2 linked regions of the Mytilus edulis genome follow. The protein of the gene in region 1 interacts with the protein of each later gene in a pairwise test. Links are inferred from orthologs where the notes say so. Each region holds a gene or a part of one and is shown in the gene's direction. Other genes may lie near its edges.

Evidence for each region.
Region 2: the proteins of arf-GAP with coiled-coil, ANK repeat and PH domain-containing protein 2-like (region 1) and ras-related protein Rab-35-like interact in a two-hybrid assay, tested with the Caenorhabditis elegans proteins (2 studies listed by BioGRID). The link is inferred for Mytilus edulis from reciprocal best matches to the Caenorhabditis elegans genes cnt-1 and rab-35.

What each region holds. Positions count from the first base shown.
Region 1 is NC_092356.1:71,613,180-71,628,814, forward strand, and holds the start of arf-GAP with coiled-coil, ANK repeat and PH domain-containing protein 2-like, read left to right. Parts: upstream 1-7,292; 5' UTR 7,293-7,402; coding exon 7,403-7,461; intron 7,462-14,662; coding exon 14,663-14,720; intron 14,721-15,635. Other genes in the region: enolase-like, read right to left, coding at 1-57, 365-449; uncharacterized protein, read left to right, coding at 5,558-6,469. UniProt on the Caenorhabditis elegans protein: GTPase-activating protein for the ADP ribosylation factor family. Regulates endosome recycling downstream of rab-10 and upstream of arf-6.
Region 2 is NC_092349.1:6,755,303-6,772,009, forward strand, and holds the start of ras-related protein Rab-35-like, read left to right. Parts: upstream 1-9,046; 5' UTR 9,047-9,127; coding exon 9,128-9,179; intron 9,180-12,275; coding exon 12,276-12,326; intron 12,327-13,067; coding exon 13,068-13,191; intron 13,192-16,707. Other genes in the region: sn-1-specific diacylglycerol lipase ABHD11-like, read right to left, coding at 5,044-5,226, 5,759-5,932, 6,798-6,945, 8,776-8,855.

The sequences.
Region 1 (15,635 bases):
CTAAAGCTTCATAAATACCAGTTGATGCTCCACTGGGTACAGCTGCCCTAAATTGACCTATATAATACACAGAACATTACAATACTTATAAACAGACCTTTATATAAAAGCTTTTCTTGTCCTTATGTGTTGTTTTTTTGCAGTATCATTAAATGACTATCAAACTATATTTTAAAAACTATCTTACTTATTCTTTAACATTACCATTTATAATTACTTCAATGGGAATTTAAATACTGTATTCATGGTATTTGCTCAAAACAATTTTTATTCATTCATTTTTTTATCTATAAATTGAAACATTCTACATGTAAACAATATTCAATCCAATTTTGGACTATCATAACTATGATTTCAAACTGACCTTTTTCTGTGTTTAAATCTACTTCAACTGTTGGATTTCCACGACTGTCAAAAATCTGACGTGCTTTCACAGCTGTTACTGGCATGGTGCTCTACAAAAAAAATAAACTTTCAGTTTTGTGTCTTTTCATGTTGTATTTGTTTTATTCATATATCTTTTGCTCTTGATATATATATGTCTTTTTTGGTTAGAGTTTTTAATTCAGAAATTTGCAAAGCCTTTGATCTACTTTATTTTTTGTATCTAGGCAAACCTGAAGCAGTTAAAGCTTGAAATACACATTTTTTTTATTTACCATCTCATCATACTCATAGGGTACATGTAGCACTACTTGTGGATTGCACATGAAATCATTTCTACACAATAAACTTCGACCTACATACGTACCTGCTCGTACAACATGATTTAGTTTGCTTTGTCAAATACAAATCTCAATGAATTTGCTCTCCACTATGTTGCACAAGGGAAACAAACTCAAGCCAAGTATCTACTAGATATATATAATTTGGCCTTTTACTCTCTGGGGCCCTATACTGTATGTTAGAGTTTGATATATATTAGCCTGTAATTTGATACTTCTAAAGTAAAAACAATTTCCATAACTTAAAACACTGACAATAAAAATTTTACATTTCTAAAATGTCATTTAACTCTAGAATTCCTGTTTGTAGAAATTTATGCTATTTTGTTGAGTACTGCAGGAGTCAACACCTTTCGGCTCAAATATTAATGGGGGTAAATATCCCACGAATTGGGAAGCTGGCAGTTCTGTAAAATTCACTGGTTTAAGGTACATTTTATACATGAACATGTATGTATAACCACTTTTCTATTAGTTAATTTGTAATCACAATTTTGATTGAGTCAACATAATAAATTTTGAGTAAGTAAATTCTAAGGTCTACCAGCCTATAACAATATTTTTAAGTAGTTGATTTCTTCCATAATAATGACATAGAGGCAGATATAAGTTTTTTTTCAGGAGGCCTAGCCCCCCCTTTTGTGGAAAAAAATTGGTTGATTATATAGGGAATCACTGAAGCATGACTGGAGTGGGTCCCCTCTTATGCAGTTAATAGGCCCCACTTATGCAAAATTCTAGATCCGCCACTGTCACATAAATCCTTTTAATCATTTGACGTGTTCATAAAGCCAACATAGTCTTGCTTAACACTTTCGCCAATGAGTCCTGTTTTAACGGGATCAGAAAACCTCTTTTATATTTCCCACTCAAAACAGTGCAAACACGAGTTATCTTTCTTTGATGAATACCCGGATGAAAGTGTAAACATGGCACGTCCGTTTGTTAAAAACCGTGTCAAAATCAGAGGAAATTTACGAAATTTACGAGAATTTGAAATGAGGGAAAAAAATATTTGAAAGAATATTATATGGAATAATTAAAGCCAAACTAGTATACTTTTTTTACATAAAATGTTGTTTCACTTGGAATGGACATCGTTCAGTGTAAAGGAATTTGTACAGCCTACTCATTAAATTTTTCAAATTTTTCTGTTTTGGGTTAAAAAATTACGATTTGGGGTCAAAGAGCAGAATTTTTAGAATTTCACCTAGATAATGCCAAAAATTTGAATATTTTATGAAAAAAAAAGAGGTGCTCTGCAGGGCGCAGCTTTATACCACCCCAGTGGTTGAACCCTAAACAGTTGGGGCAAATTTGGTCACAATATTCATGCTTAATACTGTCTGAATTTGGATTGTGATCAAATTTTTGACATAATATAGGTTTTTGTCACAAAATTAATGTGGTCAAAGATTTAACAAATCTATTGCACAATACTGTGCAATTAAAAATTTCTTCTTGAAACTTTTCAGAATTCGAAATTTGAAAAATTGTGAAAAAAAAGGAATCCCTAAAAAAATGGTAAACCCCCCCCCTTGGAGCAATAACCCTTAAACTCAATCCCATGCTTTCCTTTGAAGTATTGAACCTTGTAGTAGAATTTTAGAGAGATCCATACACTTAAACACAACTTATTGTCATGGACATGATTGTTAGGAAACTAGAAACATGCTTCTTTTTGGCCCCTAATTCCTACATTTTTAACTTAATCCAAGCCTCCTCTTTGTTATATGGTACATTGTGGTACAATTTCAGAGAGATCCATACAATTACACACAAGTTATTGTCTGGAAAATGGAAAAATGCTTGTTTTGGACCCTTTTTGGCCCTTAAATTCCTAAACTTTGGCCCAATAACCCCTAAAATGGATCCAAACCTTCTACTTGTGGTTTTAAACATTGCCGTATAATTTCAGAGCAATTGAAATACTTGTGCACAAGTTATTATCCTGAAACTAGAAAAATGCTTGTTTTGGGACCATCATCCCCAAAATCGATACCAACCTTCCTTTTGTGGTATTGAACCTTCTGAAAAAATTTCATAAAGATCTATTCACTTAAACTAAAGTTATTATCCGGAAACCAATGTGTCTTCTGACGACGACGACCACGACATCATACCATTATGCGATCCCCCAAATTTTTTTCGGGTTGCATAAAAATTATCAAAACATGAACAAAACTGTAAACATGGGCCAAGTTGGATGGAACTCGAGTACGGTCTCTAGTTCCATATAAACAGTAAATAATTTTGAAGAGTAAGGACTCTAGATTACCGGAAATACAAGGCCCCTACTGGTGTCATACCACCAATTAAAAGTCCCTATCTGTTCAACCAAATTTTGCAATTTTCACAGCTTTCTAAATATTTTACCTTAAGTTTAACTTCATAGAAACTAGGTATATCATGAATTGTACAGGTGTCACCTTTCTGCATGCCAATTTTCAACATACATTCAAAATCATATAAGAAAGCAGAGAGCTTCCGAAAGGAGGTACCACTAAAAATAACCCCTGGTTTTCTGGAAATCTTAAATTAGTATACTATGGAGCGCATTAATCCTCAATTTTTAATGCAAACTCATAGACAGGTAAATTTTGGCTCAAAATGGTCTTAATATATTTCTCTTTCAACAAAACTTTCATTTCTGCAAATTTGTTAGTTCGTTTAGGTGAACAATGACATCAAATGCACTTTTTTTTGTCCGAGTAGGCCTACTTTCACATACGTTCTAAATTTGAGGGAGTAATTGGTGGTATGACACCTAAAGAGACAAAAAAGTTGATTAGAAATCTTTTATTTTGCTTTATTCTTAATCCTTAGTCAATTTGTAGTTAAAAACAGCCTACATGTATCTGAGCATTATGCGACTTATAATAAAAATTTCACAGCTCAATTTAAACTGACTGTAATGTATGACTTTGATAGAAAATACTTGAAAATTTCATTTTGGGCTACAGGAACATAAACTTTCAATATCAAGATCATTGTTTGCTGATTTTTTCTTGTTTGTTCTACTTCTTTAAAGACTTCCAACAATTTTTGCAATGAATTTAGTAAAAAATCCAAGGTATTGAAGTGTCAAGGAATATTGACCCCCCTTTTTTTCATCTGGTGTCAGTAAAGTACTACAAATTGATCAAAAGTGCAGTCATGGTCATTTAACTGTGTTTATTAACATCAGTTAATAAAATTTAAGATATAAAAATTTCATTTGGAATAATAAATGGTGCTTTTGTGAGTTTCTGCAGTGCTTACATTAGGCTATGCTATCTGCCAAGTACATAGTATGACGCAATGCTATAAGGGGTAAAAATCAAATAATTTCATTAAATCTGCATGACAAAAATTTTTTGGGGGTAGTAAACAACTTATGTTTCAATGTTTAACACCACAGAATAACTTTCTGTGCATTTGTAACATTATTTAGGACATTTTTTATATAAAAGCCTATTGTCAGGATGGGAAAAGCTAAAAATAGGACAAACTCAAGTTTTAGGCTCTAAATTTGCAATATGTGACAGTTTGCCCCCAAAAAGATTGAAATGTGGCTACTATTATCTCAAATGATCAGTTAAGACAAAAAAAAACAATTGTTTTCTGATTTTGATGTTTCACCGCATTTTGCTTAAAGGTGTCATACCACCAATTAAAAGTCCCTATCTGTTCAACCAAATTTTGCAATTTTCACAGCTTTCTAAATATTTTACCTTAAGTTTAACTTCATAGAAACTAGGTATATCATGAATTGTACAGGTGTCACCTTTCTGCATGCCAATTTTCAACATACATTCAAAATCATATAAGAAAGCAGAGAGCTTCCGAAAGGAGGTACCACTAAAAATAACCCCTGGTTTTCTGGAAATCTTAAATTAGTATACTATGGAGCGCATTAATCCTCAATTTTTAATGCAAACTCATAGACAGGTAAATTTTGGCTCAAAATGGTCTTAATATATTTCTCTTTCAACAAAACTTTCATTTCTGCAAATTTGTTAGTTCGTTTAGGTGAACAATGACATCAAATGCACTTTTTTTTGTCCGAGTAGGCCTACTTTCACATACGTTCTAAATTTGAGGGAGTAATTGGTGGTATGACACCTACTCTGAATATGTTTACATTCAAATTTGATTGGATCGACGTCATAACATCCGGGATATCGAGTCGATCTCTAGTAACCCTGCCACAACCCAGGGCTCATTGAGTTCTAATGGCGGGAAAGCTATATCCAATCATAACAGGTGTTATATATAACCATGTCAATCCTATCTACTCTAGATATCCATCCGAACTTGGCCATGGTGTTAGTGAATGAACATGATGAAATAAAGACACAAATAACTACAGACAAGTTTTAATTGACATTTATTATTAAGATCTACACTTGAGTATAAATAGTAGCCAGCTATCAGTGAAAGGGTTAGATGCTGGACTCCTATCAATTTCCAGAAATTTCAGATTATTGTGGTATATTCTTAGCAATAACATCGTTAATTGAAACTGTATTATAATATCGCTAATCCCAGCTGACCCGACTGCTTGAACTTTTGATGCATACAACAATCACTTTTCCATTGTGGCATCAGATATTTTGCTTTATAATCTTCTGACATCATGATCAAGCAAAAATCATTTTTTAATTGTGAAGTAAAGAATTTTAAAATTGTGATGTCAAAAGTTAGCGTGTGTGATTTTAATGGAGGACACATTTGCGACAATAAAACCAACATTTTACATGTAGTGTATGGCAAGGTTAAAATACTTTCGTCATTACAATTTCAATGATCTCCAAAGTACATAGTTTTGAAAAGACTGTTTTTCCTTCCTTATGTGGAACTCAGGACCCTGTGGAGCAGGTGCAATTATCTATGCTGAACACATTAAACCTGCTGCCAGATTACATAGACCTGTGGCACAAAGAGGATCCATCCTTCTGGCGGAACTCATAGCAATTCTCATGGTCCTAGAATACTGCATTACAGAAAACATTTACAATGCAATACAAAGAATCAAAATTTTCTCTGACAGTCAAAGCGCCGTGGGATTACTTACACTGAACTGGGCCCCAAACAGCTACATCTCCGTAATAAGAGAAATAAAAGAAAATATTGAACATCTTAGGCAAAAAGGACTCAATGTAATTGTATCATGGACACCAGGACATGCCAACATAGCTGGTAATGATGAGGCTGACATCCTTGCAAAAACAGCGGCAGAGGAAGCAAAAGAATTACCACTGGAAAATAACGTCATAACACTACAGGACGTCAAACAAGCAGCGTACAAAAGATCAGGAAATAAATGGCAGAGAAGATGGGAAATATCTGAGAGAGGCAGGGACCTTTATGAAAAAATACCAACTACAAAACACTCAATTATGTATGATTTCCCAACTAAAAGACATTTCAGTATATTCGCCAAACTAAGAACTGGCTATACAGAACTGAATTACTACAAGAACGGAGTAGGCCAAACCAACGCCATAGAGTCATGTAACTGTGGAGCACCTGAAACGCCTCAACATTTCCTTCTAGAGTGTCCCTGCTATGAAAACGAACGAGAAGATATGCTACACCAAATATCCAAAGAGGTCGGGGTCAGAAACTTGAATTTAGCTACAATGCTAACGAGACTGGACGGCGAAAACACAGAAGAGACAAAAGCCAAATTACAAACAGTGGCACATTACATTGACAGAACGGGCAGATTTAATACTGCTGTTCCTCAATCCCAATCTTAACCAGCGCATACCAAATTTAAAGCACAGAGAAGAAAATACGTCGAGGAAAACTGCACAATGGGACAATTCGAGATTGAGGATTTTCTTTAATGTAATAATGAAAGGGGGTTGGAGGGGTCCTGATCCCGAAATCCTGGGCTTAAAAACATGAAATCCAGAGGTTCTGAATTATAAATTAAATCCCGACATCCTGAAATTCGTTAAAAGAAATCCAGGATCCTGACGTCCCGAAAAAGGTCCTGCCCCCCCCAATAATGACTGCATAAAATTCTTTTTTGATAGGATTAGAATTTAGATCTTTGAGGATGCATATTTTTCCAGACAGAGTGATTTTAATGTTATAGCCAGCACTTACCAACTATACGTCAGATGGATAGAAATATACCCTAACAATCAAATAACTTCGAACAGGAAATGATGAGACAAGGACACTGAAAAATGCAAGGTTGCATGTATTTGTCATTCAAGGTCAACTAATTTCGCAGTTTTAGCATGTTTGACAGCTCAATACGAAGTCGTTACATTATCTTTTGAAGCTTGTAGTTAATAGAAATTAAGAGAATACAGTTGCAAACTTAATTCTTACATATTTTAAGCAGCTTTTCCTCCCAAATACTGTAAGTCTGCAGGTGATAGTCTGCACGTTGAAAGTAGGGCAAGGTCACAGGAAGTAGGAAATATTATAAAAATTAAAAAAGAAAAATAAATAAATTTCATGATACTTGTTTTGTTCTAATTAAATTTCCAGCACACAGTTAAATTATAAAAATAAAAATTGACATTTTGTTATTTTCAGCAGCGCCATCTTTACTATTTCGTCCAAGGGGAAGCAATTAGAAGGAGGATTTCGTGGTTGAGTAAACTTGAATGATGAAGATGATTGACTAATCACCCGAACTGATCAATATAACGGAAATTTAATCAGTAACCAAAATGCCTTCCAAACCAAGTGTTGATTTCAAGGAATGTCTGAAGGATTCTCCTGTATTTAGGTAAAAATCTGGCTAAAATTAATAATCAGCTTGAGCATGTTGTCTTGTTGAAAGTGAAAACAGTGACTAACTTCACAAGTCATTTATAGCAAGGATTCTTATTCTTATACAAATCCTTGTTTATTTACAATTATTAAGAATGCACCAGGCCAAAATATAAGGCTCTAGTAAAGACAATTTATTGAGGTATCAACTAGCTACAGTACTTCAGAATTTCAGGGTACAAGTGTCGTAGGAAGGCGTCACAGAAAACAAATTAATAGTAATTATCAGGGTACAAGTGTTGTAGGAAGGGGTCACAGATTTTTTTTTATTATAGCCTTGCAAGACGTCATAATTATTTGGAATAGATACAAGTGAAATCGACACCTTGTCAAAATATTAATGCACCCCTAGAAAAAGTCAAATACTGAGGCACCTATTTAAAGTCTATTCGGTATTCAATAATATTGCATATTAAAATATATATATATAAATAATTCTAAAAATGTATAAATGATTTTATTTTAATCATCTAAACACTCTATGACTGATGTGTTGATGAGTTGTTTTTTTTACAAAATGTAAATAAAATTTAGGCCACACTTAAAAATATTTTGGTTTGCCCAAACCCTACCCAAAGGTTGAGACAGTGGGTAGGGTAGGTAGGTATTTTCTTTTTTTCAAAAAAAGAAATTGAAGTATCAGATGTTTATTAGTCTTCATGCCTTTTTGATTAAAAAAACCTTCTTCAAATCAGGACAATAAAAGAATTTGAGTAGGCAACTTTTTTCTGGGTAGGTAGCGTTTGGGCAAACAAACCTATTATTTATTATGGCCTTAATAACTGTTTTAATAAACAAGTTTGTTCTTTTAACACTTCACAGGTATAGTTATTAAAAAAAAACTGAAATAAAAAACAATGAAGCCACAACCACAGCTGTTGTTTAATCATGAGAAAATTGAGGCAGAAGGAAAGACTATCACTAATCACATTAATAGCGATCTCACTAATAAGCAACAAGAAGAATAATTTAGCGTCAAGAAGACTCTGTAGCGTTAAGAAGACTATTTAGCAACAAGAAATCAAATTTAGTGACAAGAAAGTTGATATTTAATTCTATTAATAAATATAAATTTATACAAAATGTCAACAGTGAGGGGGTAGACATTCTTTATTCACATGCTACAAATGTATATTTATAACCTTATATATCCAATAAGGAAGGCTAAACCTGGGATCACTAGAAAATACTAGTCTGCAGGGTTAGCCACTAGTTCGATGTGCCAGACTAGTAAAATTTCATTTGGACTAGTAAATTTTTGCAAAACTTTGTTTGGACCAATAAGAAAAATGTCAGAATATTGGTCTTCACTCTAGTAGTTAAATTTTTCATAGTGCGGACTGCTGTGGCGAAGTACTTATCTCCTTAGCTTAGTTGTTGCTTACTATGTTGGTCTATTTTTGTTTTACACAGTAGTTAAATAATGACAAGTTTGCAATTAGTAGAAACAGTGCAGCTCATCATGCTCATGATCATGAGCTGTAGATATTAAAACACAAAAATTATTTTTTTCAACTTGGGTCATCATGGTCATTCACCATCATTTAATCTCATGTGTGTTTCTTCAAATAATGAGTTTGTGATTTTCTCCTGCCACATTCTTTTGTAGCACAAAAACACTACACCCTGATAGGACTGGGTCATTAATTTGATTTATTTTCAATTTTTTTCTTTCAATTATTCTGAAATGTGATTAATTGTTGAGGTCAGTTAGTTTAAATGTTTACAGGAAATTACTGTTATTGTATCTTTTTATAAGACATCAAAAGGTCAAGTGTCATTAAATTTTGGGTTCAGTGTTGTATACATGTACTATCTTATATAATAGAAAGGATTGTTCTATTGTCTGGAATACATTTTTGTACCTTAATGCAGTTAGCATTAGTTACAATGTACATAAAATTGAGAAAGGTAACCCAAATGGGGAATGTGTCAAAGCGACAACAACCCAACCATAGAACAGACAACAGCCTAAGGCCACCAATGGGTCTTCAATGTAGCAAGAAACATGTATCATGTGTATAGATCTATGCATTGTTATAATCAAGGGAGGAATGAAAAACCTGAATTGCTCTGCTTACTTATTATCAGAATTAACTTTTGTATAAATTTATGGAATCAATTTAAGAGAAAATGGCCTTGGTTTCATGGATCACAATTGAACAGATTCTTAAAATATGACAGCAAACAGTGGCGGATCCAGAACTTTTTGTAAGTGGGGGCCCGCTGACTGACCTAAGGGGAGCCCACTCCAGTCACGCTTCAGTGATTTCCTATATAATCAACCAGATTTTTCCCATGAAAGGGAGGGCCCGGGCCCCATAGCCCCCATTACTACATCTATATACCATTTAAGGAAACTTTCCTATATGAGGATAAATTTTCCAATATTTCTCCGAGTTTCTGGAGTATGAAAATATCTTCAGAAGACATACATGTAAGCCAAATAAATTGTGATCATGGTGATTTAATATCTAAACCACTAAAATTTTTAGACCGTTGTTTTATTAATTTCATTTAAAAAGTTGAAGACGAATATTTGAAAGTTTGTGGCACTGAAGAAGAAAATGAATTTCGTACCACACAATTTTCAGATACGTTTTGACACTGTCAGATTTTTGTACCTTCCCCTCTCAATCTCTAAATCGTAAATTACATGTATAAATTGAATATCTTTGACACTTTGTAAAGGATACATGTCATATTCAAAACTTCATAAATCTAACCTGTTCTATATAAAATACAAAAAATGCTGCTAAAATATAATCTTATACATGTTATGCAAATTCTGAAAGGTAAAGATAGAAATAGGAAGATTTGGTGTGAATGCCAATGAGACAACTCTCCATCCAAATAACAATTTATAAAAGTAAACCATTATAGGTCAACTATACCAGAAAAATAATTGGTTCAGAAACATATTTGAATCAGTCCTAGAAGAAAGATGATGTATACATGTATAAATAAAATTGAGAAAGGAAATGGGGAACGTGTCAAAGGGACAACAACACGACCATAGAGCAGACAACAGCCGAAGGCCACCAATGGGTCTTAAATGTAGCGAGAAACTCCTGCACCTGGAGGCGTCCTTCAGCCTGCCCCTTAAAAAATAAGTATACTCGTACAGTGATAATGGACGTCATACTAAACTCTGAATTATACACAAGAAACTAAAATTTAAATTATCATATGCATAGACTAACAAAGGCCAGAGGCTCCTGACTTGGGACAGGCGCAAAATTGTATATTTATGTGTTTTTTAAGATAACTTCCATTCATGCTTATCGTTATTTTAACAAATACAAAAGGTAGGTTATAGGTTATTAAAAAAAGAAGTTGTACATGTAACAGTAAACAAAAGATGTAAAAAGTGAGTAGTATAAGTGAAATAGGAAGTTGAGGAAATGGTTTGGTATGGGCCGTATCCTGTTAGATACTATACATATAAACTATTTATATTGCTACAACTAAAGCCAGGATTACAAATAAATAAGTTAATGGTCAATAGTGACAGCTAAAAATATTTTCCATTCATTTTGAAAAATATATAACTTAGTTGAAAAGGATAGGGGTTGAATAAGCATGAAACCTTTCAAAGATACAGACTACATTCATGTACTTTGGATGTACTATATATATATAACCATTTATCTAGCAATCAGTCAACTATTGTATGCAAATAACATGTACACAAATAATTTTTGCTTTATTTATATCTTTACAAAAAAGTCTCCTGTTATTCACTTCCATGTTGAGCAAACTGTAATGTGAATATTTCTACTGGGATAACAGTTAATTTTGGGGTTCTCTCCACTATCCATGTTCACATTTGAACTTTTGATTTCTTTCAAAAATCAGACAACTTTTTGGATTTAAACATCTAAACCTAAATTTGCCAGGAGTAAATTACAAGATAAAAACAATGTATGTACATGTATACAATGTAATTGGAAATATGAAATTAATTTGTACTCGCTACAAAACAGGAGAAAAGCTTTTCAAAGTCTGCACCATACAAAATTTGTTTTATGTTGAACAGTTAAATTGGTTCATCTTTACCTGTGAAAACCATGAAAATAGGTATTTTCCATGAATGGTCATGAATTCACAGTACATGTACATGATTTTGTTGAAAGCAACTGAAAATAGTGGGACAGACATGACAGACATTGAGTATATTTTTATGCACATTTTATATCCCACAATTATGACAGGCCTTAAGCTTTTGTTTCACATTTCAATACTTATTTTTGAAATAAACAGATAAATCAACTTAATAATATCCTTATGAGGGATTAAATATCTACGTTAGAATTTGAAATGATGAAAGCAAAGCTCTCTAATGATGTATAGGTTATTTACCGGTGATTTTTTTAATGACTATACCGGTAGCTGGATAAAAATATAAAGTTGTATTGCAAAGGGATATTCATTAATGTTCTAATATGAATTGGATAAATATTGGAAAAGTATCAATGTTTAAGTTCAGGTAAAATATTAAAAGAAGAAGAAGTGTTTATGGTGCAATTTGTACAAGAACAACCTTATATGTATCTGTACTTGAGAGCCTTATGTTTTGTCTGGTACGAAATTAAAACAAATATATGTATCAAATTTCCAAACTCTATTCACAGATACAAAAAGTACATTCCATAGTTGAAGTTGGTTGCTGTCTACCTTATTTGTTTTTTTGCAAAATTTAGGCTGTTGGTTTTCTCTTTGAAATTGTTTCTCATTTGTCGTGCCGGACCCATTTATAGCCTGAAATACATTGAATACAATAAATGGGTTTGTTCATTGTTGAAGCCTTTAGTCATTTACATCCCTTTTATTTGGTCTATGGTAGATAGCTACATGTATCTCAATGGCATTCAAACCACTCTCCAATAAATGTTAACAAACTTTGTATACCTTAAGTTTCATTTTGCATTACAATTCACAATTTCCTGAAAATTTAGTTTTGAAAGATAGTAATTAACAGAAGATGGGATGAAAGAATATTGTGAGTTTGCCAAGTTATTAGAAACATGTTCTTCACAGCTCTCCATCTGTTTCTATTATAACATGCATGCTTGTAGTAAATATTCTCCAGGTATTGTTGATATACAGTCTGGCAGCTTCTAAAAGAAATTTCAGGTGCAAATCGTTGTTTAAAAATCTGGTTTATCTTAGATCTATTTTTGATAGATCAGTGGAGGAGTAATTACAGGAAGAATTCTCTCTTGAGTTGTCAAGTGTATTTTAACATTGATTTGTTAGTTATACAATATGTGTAAAGTAAATAATGGCTTCAGTTTTTTCTGTGCTTTTAATTATTTGTAACAAAGTCAAAGTCTATAGAGGAATAATAAGCATTTAAATTATGTTCATAGTACTCAACTTAAGTTTAGTTTCTACATGTTCTACAGTAGCTGCAGTATAGGGTGTGAAAACTCCTAACTCCCATATACATATATGTTTTTGCTTCTTGTCAAACATATTTTGATTAAAAATAAGAGCTGTTTAGTGTTTTAAAAAACTGTTAATATAAACATTACATGAAATATATCTTCAGTTTTAATTTCTAAAAAATAACAAGAAAAAAGATAATTTTGAATAATTCCCTCACTGCACTTTTTTGTTTAAAGATTAAGATCTTGATTTCTAATTGTTTTCCATTCAGAAATACAGATGTGTTAGAATTTAATAATTAAGTGTTGAAAACAAGGGCTTACTTTGGTTTATCCTGGTTTGTTTGTCTTCCTTGTGTTAATCTACGGGTACACATGTAAAACATTAATATTTGTAATAACACATGTTAATCAGATGTTTGTTACTATTGGTGGTCAATTCCAATCAGTGAAAATTATCTCAGAATTTTCTTTCTACTTTGTCTTAAGATTAATACACCTTATCGCTAATCCAGGCTGACCCGGCCGCTTGAACTGTTGACGTCAACAACAATTACTTTTCCATTGTGGCATCACATATTTTGTTTTATGACGTCAAAATTTTACCTGTGTGATATCCAGTAATAGCGGACAAATAGTGATAAGGTGTATTGATGACCACTATAAATCATAAAAAAACAACTGAAGAAGCAGTGAACTTTGATCATTTTCTAGAATTCAACTTTGACCCCATATAATTTCCATAATTATGGATCTTCAGTCTTTGAATATAAATAAAATCCAAATCTTAATTTTACGAAGAAAATTATTGATTGGCCTATAGAGACTTGGATGAGGATGAAGACTGCAACTTCTCCATTTGTTGCATTTACTGTATAACTGTATTGTGAGTTAACAGAGGGAAAAAAATAGATTCTGGAAATCATTTGCACTTTCAGAAAAGGGAATTTCTTTTTATGACGGAAAAGTCTCATTACACATTCTTCTTGGCACTCCTTTCATAAAGGTTAAAATCCTTTACAGCCTATTCCATTGAGTGAAGGCAAAGGTTATTTCTTAAGTTAGCTTGCTTGCTTGCTAGCTTATCAATGAATTTATTATTAGGTAAGGGTATACTTCCCTCCATTCCATTTAGCCAAATCCTACAGACAGATAGATTGGTTATCTGTCGAACTAAGTCTCCTCTTAAGGAGGGTAGTTTACCTTTAACCTAATAATGACTACATGGTTCAGCTAACAAACAAGCTAACCAAAGATATTAGCTTTGCCTACACACTCAATGGAATCAGCTGTAAATTTGAGAAAAAACATTCTGTTAGTTAAAGTGGCTTGGAGTATACTCTGTCTTTTCATTCATGTTTAGTATGGCCTTCCTCAAAAGATTATATCCATAATTATTAAAGTATAAAGAAAGGAGATATTTCTGTTCTTATCTTACAAGTTTTAGTGAGAACTTCAGCAGTGAGCTTACATACTGTTTGTGCTATTAAAACAGTATGTTATAATTACTACCCAATTACCAGTAGAAATTGAAGAAATGAAAATTTCCTGTCAATTGAAATTTCAACTATACAGTAACTTACATACATGTACATGTATACAAGGGTAAGAACACTGTCAGATATTATTATTTCTTTATACAGAAGTGTATTTTTTGAAAACAAGATAATGGATAAGGAGACTATAGTGTATTTCTATAATATTATTATTTGTCTAATTGATATAACATTTTAAAGCATGAAGAATGATAGAGTATTTTTATTTCAGGTCATCTCTAGATTCAGCTGAACAAGACATAGAACATTTAGAGGCCAAGTTAGAAAGAGTAAGATAATATACATGAAAAGAACAGAGATTAAGAAAACAATATTTTTAATAGTTAAATGAAAATTATGCACTACTACAAAATGTATATCCCAAAGGAATTTACGGCAAAAATGAAAACAAAATAACAGATTATATAATACAGCATAATGAGAATAATAATAAAAAAAACATCAATTCAAATATGTACATATATCATGCAGATTTTGAATACTACACTTTTCTCAGGACTTTTATTAATTGGAACTGAACTTCCTATAACTGACGGACATGACAGACATAAAATCAATTTATGCATCTCATTAGCTATATTATATACATTTGTAGCTCATGAGATGGATAAATTGATTTTCTCTAATTCTTCATCAGTTTATCCTTTCCTGCACCCATTGTATAAACAAATTTAATCAACCTGTGGTTCGTTTGATCTCAGTTCATCATTGGTTAAAATCCGATTATGACGTCGAATATTCTTGTTTTCCTCTGAATTCGCTATTGTGACAGCATGAAAAAAGGCGACCATGTCTGATTACGTCACATAGAAAGAACACATCTTTTTGCAGATCAGTCGCAAAGCAATAAGTTTGACTGCTTTTTGTTTGAAAATCATTAGAGAAACAGATTCCACCACCAAATCTCGTGTAATACGATAGTTATCCACTCTTGACAGTTAAATTTTAAATATTTAAAATGCTCGGCGAGCCTCGCGTTTTAAATTTGAAAATTTAACTGTCTCGAGTGGATAAATATCGTATCACACTCGATGCAGTGGTAGAATCTATATTTATGCAACTGTTCATGGATGGATATTTAAAGTCAAAAACAAGAAATAGCTATAAAATATTGATATTTTTCTATTTCTTAAGTATTCAATTCTCAAGTTATTTTTAGTACTTAATAATTTATAGCTGTTTCT
Region 2 (16,707 bases), on another chromosome or scaffold:
TTATACAAAAGAATAAACATTTCACTAAAAAAAAATTGCGTCTTGTTTTTGTGACGTAACTTTCAAACCATGAAATCAAAGAACTAATTTAACCTTTTGAATTTAAACGTAAAAGTAAATTTTTCAGAAAATCATAGCATTTAGTCAGAAACCTTGTTTAAGGAGCTTGATGCATAAAAAAAACTTTAAAAAAAATTTGTCACTTGTTTCTAAACATTTTAAGAAGTTTACTCTCGTCACAAGAAATTTTTATTTTTAAAAATAAGAGTTGTTATGATTGCCAATGAGACATCTTTCTACAAATAATCTAGATGTTGTCAAATATCCATGCTGAAATAATATGACTTTTTCAATAATAAAAAATATCTACCGATGTATCTTACCAGTAAAAAGATTTTGATATAGGATGAACATGATGAATGAAGTGATGTTGATTGAAAATTTGGTTGATGTTCAATTAAAATCTATCTATCATAAGAAAAATACATTTACAATTATAAACCAGATGCTCCGCAGGGCGTAGCTTTATACGACCGCAGAGGTTGAACCCTGAACGGTTGGGGCAAGTATGGACACAACATTCAAGCTGGATTCAGCTCTAAATTTGGATTGTGATTAAATAGTTGACACAGCATAGGTTTCTGACACAGAATGAATGTGTTCTAATGAACTTAAAATTTTTGTTTTCTCTTAGAGCAATTCACTATTCTGTTGAATATTAATCCTCTCAAAAAAATGTTTGAAGAAATTTTCTTTTTTATTTATGAAATTTCAAATGAGAAAAATTGAACCCAATTTTTTTAATCACATCCCCCTTTCCCTTATTCCAAAACTAATCTCAATTAAAATTTCTAATGGAGTTTGCAACAATAACTACTCATTTAAATACATCATAAAATATTAAGATGTAAAAAAACTGCTTGTTATCACTGAATGGTAAAGATTATTTTAATTTATCAGTTGGTAGTAAAAAGTGAATATACATTGTATATTGTATATAACAAAGATTTAAGTTGATTCTGGACAAAGAAAGATAACTCCAATTAAAAAAAAATCTTGCTATTGCACAATATTTTGCAATTAGATATTTCTTGCTTACTATTCTGGACAAAGAAAGATAACTCTAATTAAAAAAAAATTTGCTATTTCACAATATTGTGCAATTAGATATTTCTTGCCATTGCGCAATACTGTGCAATTGAAAAGACTTGCTATTGCACAATACTTAATATAATAATTTTAGATCCTGATTTGGACCAACTTGAAAACTGGGCCCATAATAAAAAATCTAAGTACATTTTTGGATTCAGCATATCAAAGAACCCCAAGATTTCAATTTTTGTTAAAATCAGACTAAGTTTAATTTTGGACCCTTTGGACTTTAGTGTAGACCAATTTGAAAAAAGGACCAAAAATGAAGAATCTACATACACAGTTAGATTTGGTATATCAAAGAACCCCATTTATTCAATTTTTGATGAAATCAAACAAAGTTTAATTTTGGACCCCGATTTGGACCAACTTGAAAACTGGGCCAATAATCAAGAATCTAAGTACATTTTTAGATTCAGCATATCAAAGAACCTAACTGATTCATTTTTTGTCAAAATCAAACTAAGTTTAATTTTGAACCCTTTGGACCTTAATGTAGACCAATTTGAAAACGGGACCAAAAGTTAAGAATCTACATACACAGTCATGACAGTTAGATTTGGCATATCAAAGAACCCCAATTATTCAATTTTGATGAAATCAAACAAAGTTTAATTTTGGACCCTTTGGGCCCCTTATTCTGTTGGGACCAAAACTCCCAAAATCAATACCAACCTTCCTTTTATGGTCATAAACCTTGTGTTTAAATTTCATAGATTTCTATCAGGCCTGGGGCCATTACATTGCAATGTAATGCATTACATTACAATTACTTTGTGATTCTTCCATTACAATTACAATTACAATTACATTTTTTCTCACATGTAATGCATTACATTACAATTACTTTGCCTGTGTAATGCATTACATTACACATTACTTTTTCAATATAAAAACTAAAGACATTTCAAAAAACAGATTTTTATAAGAATTTGATAAATATTACAGGGGTATATGTAGATATATATACAGTGTTAGTGACATAGACTTCAAATACTGGTTAATTAATATGTCCATTGAACTTTATTATCATAAGAGGTTCAAAAGTGATGTCATTAAGAAAACAGCGATCAGCTCTGTACACCTTTCTGGCAATACTAAAAAGCCTTTCTACAGCACCTGATGTGTGTGAAATGGCTAAATACTTGATAGCTGTATTAGCCAAAAAAGAAAGGCACACTGAATTGACTTCCATCATTCCAGTGCATTGATTGAAATTTCTTCACATGGCTCAGACAAGTAGATGTCAACATCATGTACTGCACCATACCTGTGTCTATACTCTTTGATGGAGTAGTAGGAGGCATGAAACTGGAAAAGTCACTTTTAAGATTCTTAGGTGGTGGTAAAAAATAAATAAATTATCATATCATTTTGTTTCTTACATTGATCACTTAATCATTAAGACATCATTAAGGGATTTCAAAGGAAGATAATAAATGTGTCATTAGAGGATTATCTTTTGAAATGCTTAAGGGCTCTGTGAGGACAAACATAAGTTGAGAAGATTTGATTGCAATAAAAACATTTTGATATTAATTAGGTGAAATAACAACACAGACAGGACCCAAACCACAGTTTGGTTTAAAAATGTTGTTTGACATATTCAATATTCAATTAAGATTTTTCATTGAACACCAAACCACCAAACACCAAAATATTCCTAATATCATTTTAAACAAATATCAGAAACCAAAATCAAGACTTGATAATTTTTACCATTTTATATTTATTACCTTAATGTGTGTTTTAAAGATTGGTGTAATTTATTTAATACAGTAATTAACTGTGACAAAAATTTTATTCCATACTTTCTTTTGTTTTTGTTAATATTTTATTTTTATTATACAATATTCTTCAATTTTATGTATTTTACCAATTTGTAATGAAAAGTAATGTACTGTAATGGAGGCATTACATCAATTTTTAACTAAAGTAATCATTACATTACATGTAATTGTAATGCAGAAAATGTGCATTACAAATTACTTTGCATTACATCCAAAAAAAGTAATATTACACAGGGGTTTATCTGGGTATTTTGGGAAAAAGGACCCTGGCCAGTTTTGGGAATTTTTTAGCGCAGTTTTCAATGAAATTGGGAAAAACAACCAATATACCAGATGTTAGTTTTAGTGTGTTTAGTTAATTAAATTTGTTTTTAAATATAACAACATGGCATTAAAGTTTATTTGAGTATCAAAATAATGAGTTCTAACTTTTTAAAGGATTGTTATTTTTTTTTATTTTGACATGAAAATTTGTGAACTAAAATATTTTCAGTTCTGTATAAAATATATCCTGTTTCTATTTTCTTTTATATATATCTTTTACTTTTCAATTTTAGTGTTGCTATGATAGCTGTCACATGTTTGGTTCTTTTCATTTTTTATTAACTGTATTTGATTGACAAACCCTGAATTATATACTTGTTCGTTTCCGGATTTGATCTGGTTTTAGTATTTTCCCACACTTCCTGTTTATTCATGGCAGCCATTGTTTGTCAAATGTTGTTTGTCATTCAATATGTTTCAACTTGGATTTACACATTACTTGTTGACGATTTTTGACATAAAGCTAGCTGTTGAATAAAATAAACATCTCTGTCATGAATAATAAAGATGAAAATAAATTTTGTGATAATTTGGGAATTTTACTCCCAAAATTGGGAAAAATGTAGGGTTTTTGCCGTTGGGAATGGGTCCGAAAACCGGACCCTGTGGAATGCTAGAAAAATCCATGTTACAATGCATTACAATTACAAATTACCATTACCCCAGGCCTGATTTCTATTTACTTAAACTAAAGTTATTGTGCGAAAACCAAGAATAATGCTTATTTGGGCCCTTTTTTGGCCCCTAATTCCTAAACTGTTGAAACCAAAACTCCCAAAATCAATCCCAACCGTTCTTTTGTGGTCATAAACCTTGTGTCAAAATTTCATAGATTTCTATTAACTTAAACTAAAGTTATAGTGCGAAAACCAAGAAAATGCTTATTTGGGCCCTAATTCCTAAAATGTTGGGACCAAAACTCCCAAAATCAATACCAACCTTCCTTTTGTGGTCATAAACCTTGTGTTAAAATTTCATAGATTTCCATTCACTTTTACTAAAGTTAGAGTGCGAAAACTAAAAGTATTCGGACGACGACGCCGACGCCAACGTGATAGCAATATACGACGAAAAATTTTTCAAATTTTGCGGTCGTATAAAAACAAGTTATTTTTCATGTTCGTGGAAAACATAAAGAATCTTTCTGATGTCAAAATATTGATTTTACCAGAGTTACCTCCCATTTGTAACTAATACATTTTCTATCACACTTTTACACAATGAATATGTGTAATGAAATAATGCTCAGTTCTGTTGATAATGTTAATCTAAGATCTTAGATTGATAAGGAATATATTTAGTTTGATTTGTCAGCATGAATTTCTGCTGAGTCCTATTTTTGTTATTTTGTTATGCAAAAATAAATTGTGTAAATAAATATGACTTATTTACCATAACTCGCTTCAACAAATATGACCAATACAATAATAAAAATATAAAATATTCATACTTAGTCTTTAAAAATAGTTACAATGTTGGTAATAAAGATTTTTTTGTGTGCATTCATTTTTATCATTTATATGCATTCATTATTGCATTTTTGTGCAATCTATTATATTGCCATTTCTAGTGCATTCATTATTGCCCTTTTTGAACAACAACAAATGAGATCAATTTCATGAAATGCTGCATACAAATAATGATTTCACAATTTATAATGCAAGTTTTCTTTTTGCAATTTTTGGCAATGATTTTAAAAAACATTGCAAAATCTTGATATAAGTCACTGTCAGTAGATAACTTAAAGGGGAGATAACTATTGATATAACTTGCTTACAGGTTCTACTTCCTTTAACATATTGATAGCAATCTTTCTAGCCTCAGATACAGGAAGATCTTGCTGCATGTATAACTGTACTTGAATTTTCAGCATCATTTGTAAGAAAGCTGGATATGTCTTAGCTCTTGGACTAACTGTTGGTGAAACATCTACTACAATTAAACTATCTACTCTCTCTGGCTGAAAATTATTATAAAGAAATCTATTAAAACATTGCTGAACAAAACTATAATGTGTAACAGTAAGAAATACAAGTACCAAAAGTTCAAATAACAATGTAATTTAAACTATATATATAAATTAATTTTGAACTGACAAACCCATTTTGACTGAAACTAATCTGCAAAGACTAAAATAAATATATGTCAAGTTCAGTTTCAAATGTATCCACTGTGGAAAGCATTGTTCATATACTTTCCTTGTCATCAATTGAGATATTTCTACAGTGGTCTTTACTCTTGTGCAAAAACAGTGCATTTGGATCACAAGTTTTCACAACATTATATTTAGATTATATCTGAAAAATATATTAAGCTCATAAAAAAACATTTTTTTTTTCTATATTCAAACAATTCACAGTTCAAAAATGTTTTCCATTTTTTTGTAAACACCCAATAAATTAGAGTGTTTTTTCTGCATTCATGTAAGCTACAAATGTATCTAAATTTATGTTTTTAAATAATCTTCTTAAAGGGGTAATATATGTACTTACATGTTGTAAAGCTGTGACCATAGACATTTTTCCACCCATACTGTGTCCCAGTAAACAAGCCTTGTCTATTGACAATTCATCTAATAGGTTAATAATATCCTCACTCATTAAAAAATAGTCCATACTTTGAGTGTGTGGACTTTCCCCATGGTTCCTGACATCAACTGTTATTACCTATTGTAAAAATACAATAAATGTACCATCATAAATGTCACAAAAAGTATACACTGGATTCATTATAATTTGTTGATTACTAATATCTGTTGATTTTGTCGGACCATAAATTTGAATGTTCAACAAATTACAATTTTTCCTAATTATGCTTGTATACAGATTTTGGAAAAAACACAATATAAATTATCCAGAAAAATGCTAGTTTTTCCTCAATCATTGAAAATTGGTATCCACGAAAATAAATCAATACACAGTATGATCCAAATATAGAAATTTGTCAGTAATTATATACAGTATAATACTGTTGTTTCATTTCCATTCTTGGGGCCTCAATGGCCAAGTTGTCTAAGTACTGGTAGTTAGAACCCCGTTTGTGCAGTCACTTTTGACTCCAATCTTATTGACTAGGATGTCAGTTATCCTATCAAAGGTCAAGGTTTTCTCAGGGCACTCTGGCTTCCTCCATCCATAAAAACTGACTGCCACAAAATAGCCAAAAAGTGGCGTTAAAACACCAACAATCATTATTATTCTTAGAATACCAATCTTCAATGAAGTACATGGTTTCTTAAGGTTTGATTACAGCTTTGGTAAATCCACATCAAATTTTACGAAAAATTTGCCTTCTTCAATTCTCAAAAATAGGTTAACATAAAAATTAAAGGTGTTTTAACTTTAGATATCTTAATGTTTTTTTGTGTCTTTGTAATTTGTCTGATGGATGTATGGTTTCTCAGCTTACATGTCACAACTAAACTCAATATACATGATATATATGTAGTATGGTTGCCAATGAGATAAATATTACCCAGTGACCAATGGACATGAATTTTAAGGCAACTTCTTTGCTTGTTAGACTGTATACCTGTCTTCCCTTTTTACTCCACAGTTTTGATAAAGAATGCCAGTTATCTTTGTTTCCCATAAGACCATGTGTAATAACTACAGGGGGACCAGAACTGCCAGGCTCTTGATAATTTCTGTATGACAAACATACTCCCTGACCTGAAAAACTGCAATGAAAACTAAAATGTATCATATATTATAAATAATTTCATAATTTAATGATAAGCATACCTGCCAGCTTTTCAGAATGCCCACGGGGGGTTTTACATGCAAGAGGACTCTTGTAGTCCCAAAAAACCTTCAAGGGGGCCTTCAAATGCATTTAAATGTTGTTTTTTGGCTTCTTCATACTTTTAATAGCCTATTGCATTTATAAAAATTAACTGTTTTATTTAACATTTGATCAAGATTGTTGACAAAATTGCTCTTTCAAAATTTCCATATCGGAGCTTTCATGGGGGAAATCCCCCGTAAATAGTGACAGTTGGCAGGTATGGATAAGACATTTCTATACCATACTAAAATGTCCTTTGCTCTCTATAAACATGAGAAATGAGAAATTAAATAGTCAAAATAATGTTAAGTCCAATAACTCTGATTATAATTATCAAATTAACTGATTAATAATGGTACAATGCTCATTGAACAGGGGCGGATGCAGGAATTTTCGAAAGGGGGGGTGCTAACCCAGGGCAAAGGGGGGGTGCAAAACATATGTCCCGATACAAATGCATTGATCGGCAAAAATAAAGGGGGGGTGCGCACCCCCGGAACCCCCCCTCTGGATCCGCCACTGATTGAAAACCATATCCAGTATGACAGATACCAAATGGTTTCAGAAGAGTAATTTGCTTTCCCAAAAAATGTCTCTAAAAGTAGTCAAACTTACAAAGTACAATTGCTCTTGTTAAATTGATGGAATCAAGATAAAGATTTATCAAAGTCACCTACATATGATGGAAAATAATGCAATAAAGTATCAAAGTTTTCTGGTAAAACAACCTTAGAAAAAATGTGTTTACAAGGTGAGTTATTGTTTTGAAATATTTTTCCCTTTTGGTAATAAACCTCTAACAGATGAACAGATAATCCTGTCAACGTATACATGTATTTGTTCCACCTAACAGAAGTTCCAATGGAAACTTTGTTATAAACAATGTCATAATATCTGTTCCTGTTGGAACAAATATTCTATATACCATTTATTCCGTTGGTAACATTTACTGTAATATTTATTCCAGTGGAAATAATATTCCAGAATATTGTTTCCATTTGGAACTTATATTATGAAAGAACTTCTATTCCGTCAAATGTTGTACTAATGAACTCAAAATCGTTTAATTTTTTTTTGTCGCGTTTTTTAATTTCCGGAACTGCGCAGAACACATAACTCTACTTCCTTCTTCTGGTCTTGTTGTCTTGAGACTTTGATTAGTCTAGTAACATATAGGAACTCAAGGAACATAATACCAATATTTCATTTTTAATCATTCTTCAACTTTGGTATGAATAAATGTTACCTGATGCATTGCGTTTCTTTGTTTACATTGAACATGACGTCATAACTTAAATAACGTCACAAGTAAAATCCCTAACAACAGAACCAAAATCGGAAACGTTACGGTATTTCTGTTTCTTTTTTTTAACAAATATATTTATAAAAAATAATTTAAACAAACTTTGTCCCCATTCACAGGTAATGCCTGCCTCATATTACATACAGACTTCGTCCTCATTTCACAGGTTATGCCTGCCTCATATTGAATCCTAGTGAATATAAATTTGGCCTCATTAAAGAAAAAACAACTCAATAACTGTTCTGCTAAGCCTTAAACCTTATCGAAGCCTTATGTCATTCACAAAAATTGAAATTTTTAAATTTGCCAGGTTTGTTTCAGGGATTACATCAGACATAAGTTTAGTCATGTCACAGTCAATGTCATATCTAAAAATGGTGAAACTGCAGCTGTTTATGAGTTACAATCTTTTGAGTTTACCTGGGTTTTTGAGTTGACTTGTGTCTTATAGCGAAATAAAACAGGCTTGATGGTTTACAAATTGACCTCCGAAAAGCCATTAAATTTGAAATTAACCTGGTGTTGTTAAAGTGTCATTAAATGTGGAAATGACATCTAAAAAGCTGTCTGCTATTTTTAATGTCTGCGTCAATTTAGTGCTTGAAAATAAATCGGTGAACACCAAATGATAAGCACATTGAAGATTATGATGCACATGGCGCAGGCGCATAACTATGCATACGCCTCATTTCCGGATACAAAATCCCTTACTTCCGACTTTAAAATCACTTGACACTGAGCCTTCAGTCCGTATTTAAACAATTACAGGGCTATGGCTCGAGAATATGACCATTTATTCAAGCTCCTTATCATTGGTGACAGTGGTAAGAACCCGAAATATCCATTTATTAATTTTCTGGTGAAGTAGGTGCACGATTTTTGCTGAAGTCATTGATTGTTGTCAAAGTTGAAAGTTGTTGGCGACAGCTTGTATGACATAATTTTAATGTTTTCAGAAACTGGGCCATAACGAAAACTGTTTATTGGGGAAAGACGGCTTCAAGCCGTCAATCCCCTATGGGGTTGACCAGAGTGACATTCCCTCACATCATTCATTTTGTTTTTATAGTGTGGAAAACCCCCCAACAAATCTTACTTAGATTGAAGAGAAGGAGACCCAGAAATGAATAGTTTGACTTTAAACACTTTTTTACACATTTCCCTTCTGTTTCTCACGAAATTATCGTATTTTGAGCTCTCCTTTCCACTATTTACGTTTCTTTTACAATCCGGAAAAATCAGTATGACGAGATATTCTAAATATATCCAACATACATTGTATTTAATAGTGACGTCATTCTTGGAATGCCACACTACGCAGAATCAGGGATATCCTTCACTGGTTATTTATATCATTCTCAGAGATCGTGCACTAATTAGAAATTGGTATTTGTTAAATCTAAACATAATAATGTCTGCTGTAGATGATTCAAACATTAACATGCAATACTTTAATTTGTAGGTCACCAGCTTTCAAAGTAAACAAAGATCGTGGGGTTACATGAGATAGGGGAGAGAAACGATTTTATTATTTTTTTTCTGTAAAAGTTCTGTTTTGAGAATCTTCCTCCAATTCAGGAGCACCTCAATTGATAAGTAATATTATCCACTAAAATAAAAGTTAATGTATTTAAATACTTAAAATGTGACATTTCATTGGATTAGTAGTCTTCCATTATAACTAAATTTTTGTGTACCAACACAATCATTGTAATGGGGGAAAAAAAAGAAAAAAAAAATTGCATTTTGTAGTTTAAACCTATTTATTCATGAAATTCACAAATATTTCAAATTTAGGATGTGGAAACAAGCTTCACACAGTTTACATCAATCATATTGGTGTTTTTTTTTATCAGTACCTGATGAGAGTTGTAACTGGGAACTCCTACAATCAATGGAAATTTAAAACTGAATAGATTTTTCAGTCCACACTTTCTCAAGAAAAAACTTTAAAATCCAAGAGTACTGTCACAAAAAATGGAAAATGGCCCTAGCCTGCAGTTCATTGGTACACAATCAAGATTTAAAAAAATATTGTAGTTGTTGTGAAATGACAGAATTCAGTTGAATTTTAGATAATTAACTATCAACTTAAATCAAATGTTTAGATTTAGAAGATGCAGATCTCTTCCATTGGTTCTAATTGAATCCTAAACTAAGGAAATGAAATTACATAAACAACAGTTAATTTCAATATTGTCAACCTTTCTACATGTTCTAGCTGTTCTCTTTTTCATTCTTTATATGAAGACTATCAAAAGATACCCCCCCCCCTTCCTTCCAAAAAAAATAATTAAATAGAAACAAGGGCCGTCTTTCCCCTCAGAGCTATTCAGCTCTTTGATTTTTAAAGTTATGAGTGACGTTTTGCATGTTGTCCCAAAATTTTAACAGTCAATCTGCTGTCACAAACCTGTAAACAACATCACAGCTGCAGCCACATAAAAGCTGAACTTCATTAAAAGAAATTTAAAGGTTACAGTTTTAAAAAAAGCATACATAGCACTAGTAAGACCAAAGCTAGAATAGCTGGGACCCACATACCAAATCACAAACACACCAACTTGAGATGGTCCAGCACAGAGCAGCAAGGTACATGTACACATGCAACTGATACCATTACACCAGCTCAGTCACTGAAATGCTGCAAACACTAAATTGGGCAACTCTTGAGAAAAGGCGAATAAAAACTTGCATCATCTTCTACAAAATCATACATCATATTGTAGCCATATACGCGACAGATATACTCACACAATCTGATACAAGTACAAGACAACTTTAGTCTTTAGTAAGTGTCCCAAATGACACTGTAAACACTTGTGTACGTTTCCTCTTTTGTAGTTTCTTCACATATGTAATGTTCACTCATGTACTTAATTGAAATTGTGGCTGCTGTTAAAAAATTTTGACTTAATTTTGATATAGATTTATAGTGTTTTTTGCTGTATAGTGTTTTTGAATCTACCAGACTCCGTTAAATAATTTTCCAGATGGCACAATATCTCATTTCGATTGTCTCTATTAATGTCTTCTTCATCGATTCCTAATAAGGTGTCTAAATCCATTTGTATATTTCCTGTAATAAAGTAAATAGATGTTCTCATCCTCTCTCTAGCCTCCTCATAGTTAGAACAATGTAAAAGGTAGTGTTCTACAGTTTCTGGCTCTCCACAGGAACAGTTTTTGTCTGATGATGGTATGATTTTGGATTTATAATCATTTAAATCACAATAACCTGTTCTCAAACTAGTAGTAATTGAAAACGACCATTTGGATGGTAAATCTTTTGGTATTTTCTGACAGACTTTTTGATGATAGTTGTAATAATTTCTGCCACGTTGACTTGATTCCCATTGGTTCTGCCATTTTCTTAAAACACTTTCTCTTGCTGCACGTTTTATATCCTGCCTGGTTACTTCTGATGGTTCTTCTATTTTTTCAGCTTCTTTAGCTCCTTTTTTGGCCAGTGAATCAGCAATGTCATTTCCTTGGATATCAGCATGACCAGGTGTCCATTCAAAATTTAATGGAATTCCATTCATCTTTAATACTTTCATGTTTTTCTTAATTTCTCTTATGACTTTGGTGTAATTCTCTGATTTCCAGTTTAAAGTTAAAATTCCAATTGAGGTCTGACTATCTGAAAAAAGTGTAATTGAGGCTGTGTTTTGTCTGTTTTCTGATATTAAAAAGTGGTCAACAACAAGTTTAATGGCGATCAGTTCTCCCAGTAGTATTTATTCTTTCAGACCCATACAAACTACTTAAGACTCATACCATACTCATGTCATACTTTGACACTAGTATGTGAGTGATTCTAGATACATGTACATAATATACAATGGTTGCTGATTTTTTTAACAATTCAAAATGATTTGTACTGAATAATGAATTACATAATTTTGTTGTCATTTCAGGTGTAGGAAAAAGCAGCTTATTGTTACGGTTTTCAGATAATACATTTGCTGGTAAGTACTGGATCAAAATTAGATTTAAATAGTGAAATGAAAGGTTATAAACATGATTTAATATGATGTCCTTCTTTCGCTTTGGAAACAAAGCCATGTTCTAATTTCAATAAAACATGGGCTGCACATGATTGACCTCGCAATGGAAATTGCAACGTCAGTTGTATTTAGAACAACGCTGAAGATCCAACGTTGACATTTCTGTTGTTGTTGCTCTGCTCGCTAGTATATTAAATAAAATCATTTTAAAAGTAAGTTTAAATATATTGCTTTATTGTTTACAGTTAAACGAAAACAAAATTAGGTCTGGTTATAATGCTGATGACTGGAATTGAAAGCAGTCACACACAGTCATGATAAGGTTTTCTACTCAAGAAAATTCCTATGAATACAATCAGAAGAAAACAAAGAAATTTGTTTGAAATTTTTCTTCTTGATGGTGCCGGTGAAAAACTGTGGATTCATTATAATTCATAATTGGTTATCAATTTTCAAGGTTTTCATGTGAACAGGTGAACCATCAATTTAAATGTTTAACGAATTACAAATTTTCTATCAGGTTGTATGCAGACTTTCTCAAAACCATAAAATCACATATCCATGATGAAAAGGCCAATTTCCTTCAATCCACGAAAATTAATGAATCCACAGTATAGAAGATCAGTCTGTAGCATTTATTATTGTTATAATCATAAGATACCATAGAAATGTCATTGTATGATAATGATATAAATGTTTCAGGAACCTATATAACAACAATTGGTGTAGATTTTAAAATAAGAACAGTAGATGTTGCTGGTGAGAAAGTTAAATTACAGATCTGGGATACAGCAGGTCAAGAGAGATTCCGTACAATCACATCTACGTAAGTATAGCAACCCACCTACTGAAATTATACACACAAAAAAATATTACAGATCGAGAAAGGTTTCTATCATTTTATCAATGTCTAAGAAGTTCATCTTCTGCATTACTAAAGTGTCAACACTGAAGTTTGAGTTTGAACTCTGCATATGGCAAGTATGTTTGACTCAAAATTTAAACTCAATCTATAGCTTGTCTTGATAAAACAATACACCAAATATCAAATCAATATCTTCAAGCTTGAAGAAATGTGTGGAAAGCTTGAAGAAATTGATTTGAAAATTGATATATAGTTTAATCATGACAAGTTACAGATCAAGATCAAATTTTCTTCTGGTCATATCAGTGTTCTCCCCAGAAATTTTGGATAGCATCACATTTTGCGTAAAAAAAAATAACTGTATTTTTTTTAATGTTGTTTGTTGCGTCGCGTTGATGCTCTATTTCCTTTATATGTTTTAGTTTATATTATTCAATTCATAACTGAGAATACAATTAAACTATAACCACAAAAACAGTTGTTTCAGTTTATGTCTTCTTTATTCATTTATAGTTACAGAGTTATTTTTTTCCTCTTGTGCCAAATAAAAATAAATATGTGGTTTCAGTTACCCAACAATAAGTCAAATGAATGAATGGTTCATTACAGTGCAACCTGTATTTATACAAAACTAAATTATCTAGTACACAAAATTAACTACTTTTTATATTATATCAAGTAAAGATAAAGTAGCAAAAGAAGCAAAAAAAAATCAATTTAAAAACTTTTTTAGTGGAAAAAGACGTCAAGTCTTCTGAAGACTTAAGGGGCTGACCATTGGCATTGAGTCTCCGTATGCCGCATTCATTTCGTGTATTACAATTTCAAAACAACTTAGATTCCTGAAACCGATTTTTACACATGATTAGGCATCTGAATCATTTAATTTGTAAATTAAGATTGTTAAACAATCACTATCGTAAATATGACCCTTTTATTTATGTAAATTATTAGATTTCATCTCATCCACATGAACGTTATTTGTTTACTTGTAACAGGATGTTTTTACTGTAGATATTTGTATTACGCATGCGTGAATTTGGTATCGGGACAACTCGTCCTGTTTACAAGTTCGCCCTTGAAGTTACGAATTTGCAATCCTGCAGACAAGATGATTTTGTTTTTATATAAATAAAAAGGATATATAAAGTGTTGTCTTTATTCATGGTTTTCCTGTGTCATGTGAATAAGATGCCCTTCGTAACATACATGTGAACCTCCCGTTTAGGAGAAAAAACTCTTGTGTATGAAATTTTTCAGACGCCATATTTGATCATTTCTTACTACTGTACGGGTGTAATTGATACCTGTGTTAAATTTTACCTGAACATCAAAGAAGATGTATAATTATATGGCTTCACTTGACAGCTTGGGTGTCAAACATACTGGTAATCAACGATGTTTACCTCCGGCTAACTGCCGTTGTGTTATCAAAACGATGTGTAATGGGAATATTGAAATACTTTTTTGTTACTTCCCTTTGTTTTATCCTGTTTTCAGTTATTTTGCTCTTAAAAATGTAAATTGTAAAAAGACTATAAATGATTAATATTTTAATCAAATAATCATAAAAGGATGTTGATTAAATGAATTTAAATGATTTTGGACAAATAAAAAAATTAAAATTTATAAATTATTTTAGCAATCTAGACCTCCTTTCAATGATTAAATTGAAGTTTATATCATAAATTTGTTTATAACTGATTAGAAGTCAATATACAATATGTGCAACTAGACTAATAAAAGGTCTAGTAGTTAGATTAATTCCTAGTAAAATCTTGAAATTTAAATTTGTAAATGTTAGTATATTTTAGATTTCATTGTGAAAGCTAAGAAATAGCAAGACATTTTACACTGTTTTTAAGTCTTTTTAAGCTTTCTACAAATATGACTTTTATAATGCTTAAAATCCATGCAGTACTAGTGTTAGTGTATGTTATTTTTTTAATTAATTTACGATGTTGCAAATGTGGAGCTTATTTCTTTCTTATTTGTCTATACACTTACAAATGATAAGGATATGGAGACATGAACAAAAATATATACAGAAATAGATATATAAATATAATGATTCATTTGCAAGCAGTGAACAATCATTTGTCAAAAACAAAACAAAACAAAACAAAACAAGAAATAGATTCTTCTTATTATTTTATTTTATTCAAATAGAGAGGCAATAAGGGACTATAAACATTACAATTTGATGGAAATTTGAAGAAAAAACACAATTTCTACATCATTTGGTTACATTTACGACAAAATTTATGTCGATAAAAAACATGATGTTTTGACCATTCAGTACTTAATAGATGCATAGTTCTTGGGGAAAAGTTTCATCAAATAATATGAATATAAATGACTTTTTTTGTGCTCATTTTTTACAGTGGGTTGTGATGATCTTCCAGTTAGGTTACCCTCATTTGGAGTGTTGTTAAAGGTCCATCTTTGTGCATAATTCAAAATTGGAAATTTCAACAAGCATCTAATATTCTTAATCTGGAAAATAAACCCTGGTCTGCTAGCTTCATGTATATTTTTTCTACCTATTTAATATATAACTAGAATCATGCAAACAGACTTAAGGAAAAGGCATGTAAATTCATCATACAAATATGACACTTTTTCTAGACAATCCAGATCTTGCAAAATACGTCGCTAAAAATTGTAACCTTTAAAATTGTTGTTGTGCAGTAAAAACCCATATGGGAACTTTCAAAAGTTGGCAGGTATGTAACAAGTCTTACTATTTTTATGCTCCATTTATGGGCAATATGTTTTCTAGTCTGTCCGTCCGTCCTGCTTCTGGTTATAAAGTTTATGGTCGAGGTAGTTTTTGATGAAGTTGAAATCCAATCAACTTGAAACTTAGTACACATGTGTTCCTCTTGATATGATCTTCTTAATTACTGCCAAATTAAAGATTTTACCTAATTTTCATAGTCAACTGAACATAGAAAATGATTGTACGGATGGGAAATCCATGTACTTATGACCTTTTCTTGTTTGAAGAAAAAAAATACATTTTAACGATAATGGAACAAAGCAGCCTGGGTAAGTGGGGCTGCTTTTATGGTAATTCAAGTTACCTTTTATTCACCTTCTTCCACTTCAGAGCTATCAGCTCTTTGATTTTATCATGTTTATGAAATTCATGCCACTCAATGAATTAGTCCCAGTTGTTTCTTATCTTTACATCAAAATCATATGTATTTTTAACAAAGTTATCTAACAAATAGTCTGTTAATGCGTAGTTTTCTCTCTTGGTTTAATTTTTCTGTCTACTGTCCATCTGTTGTCATTATCGTGAAAATGCGGATTTTTGTCATATCTGGTCCGGTTCCGATCCGTAGTTTACACAAAAATGTGCAATGGCGGCCGTAGTAAAATTTACGAAAATGAGTCCGAGAATAAACATTGTTTGACAAGAGATTGTGAATGAATAAGACGCTTTTAATGCATTAAATGGATTAAACATAA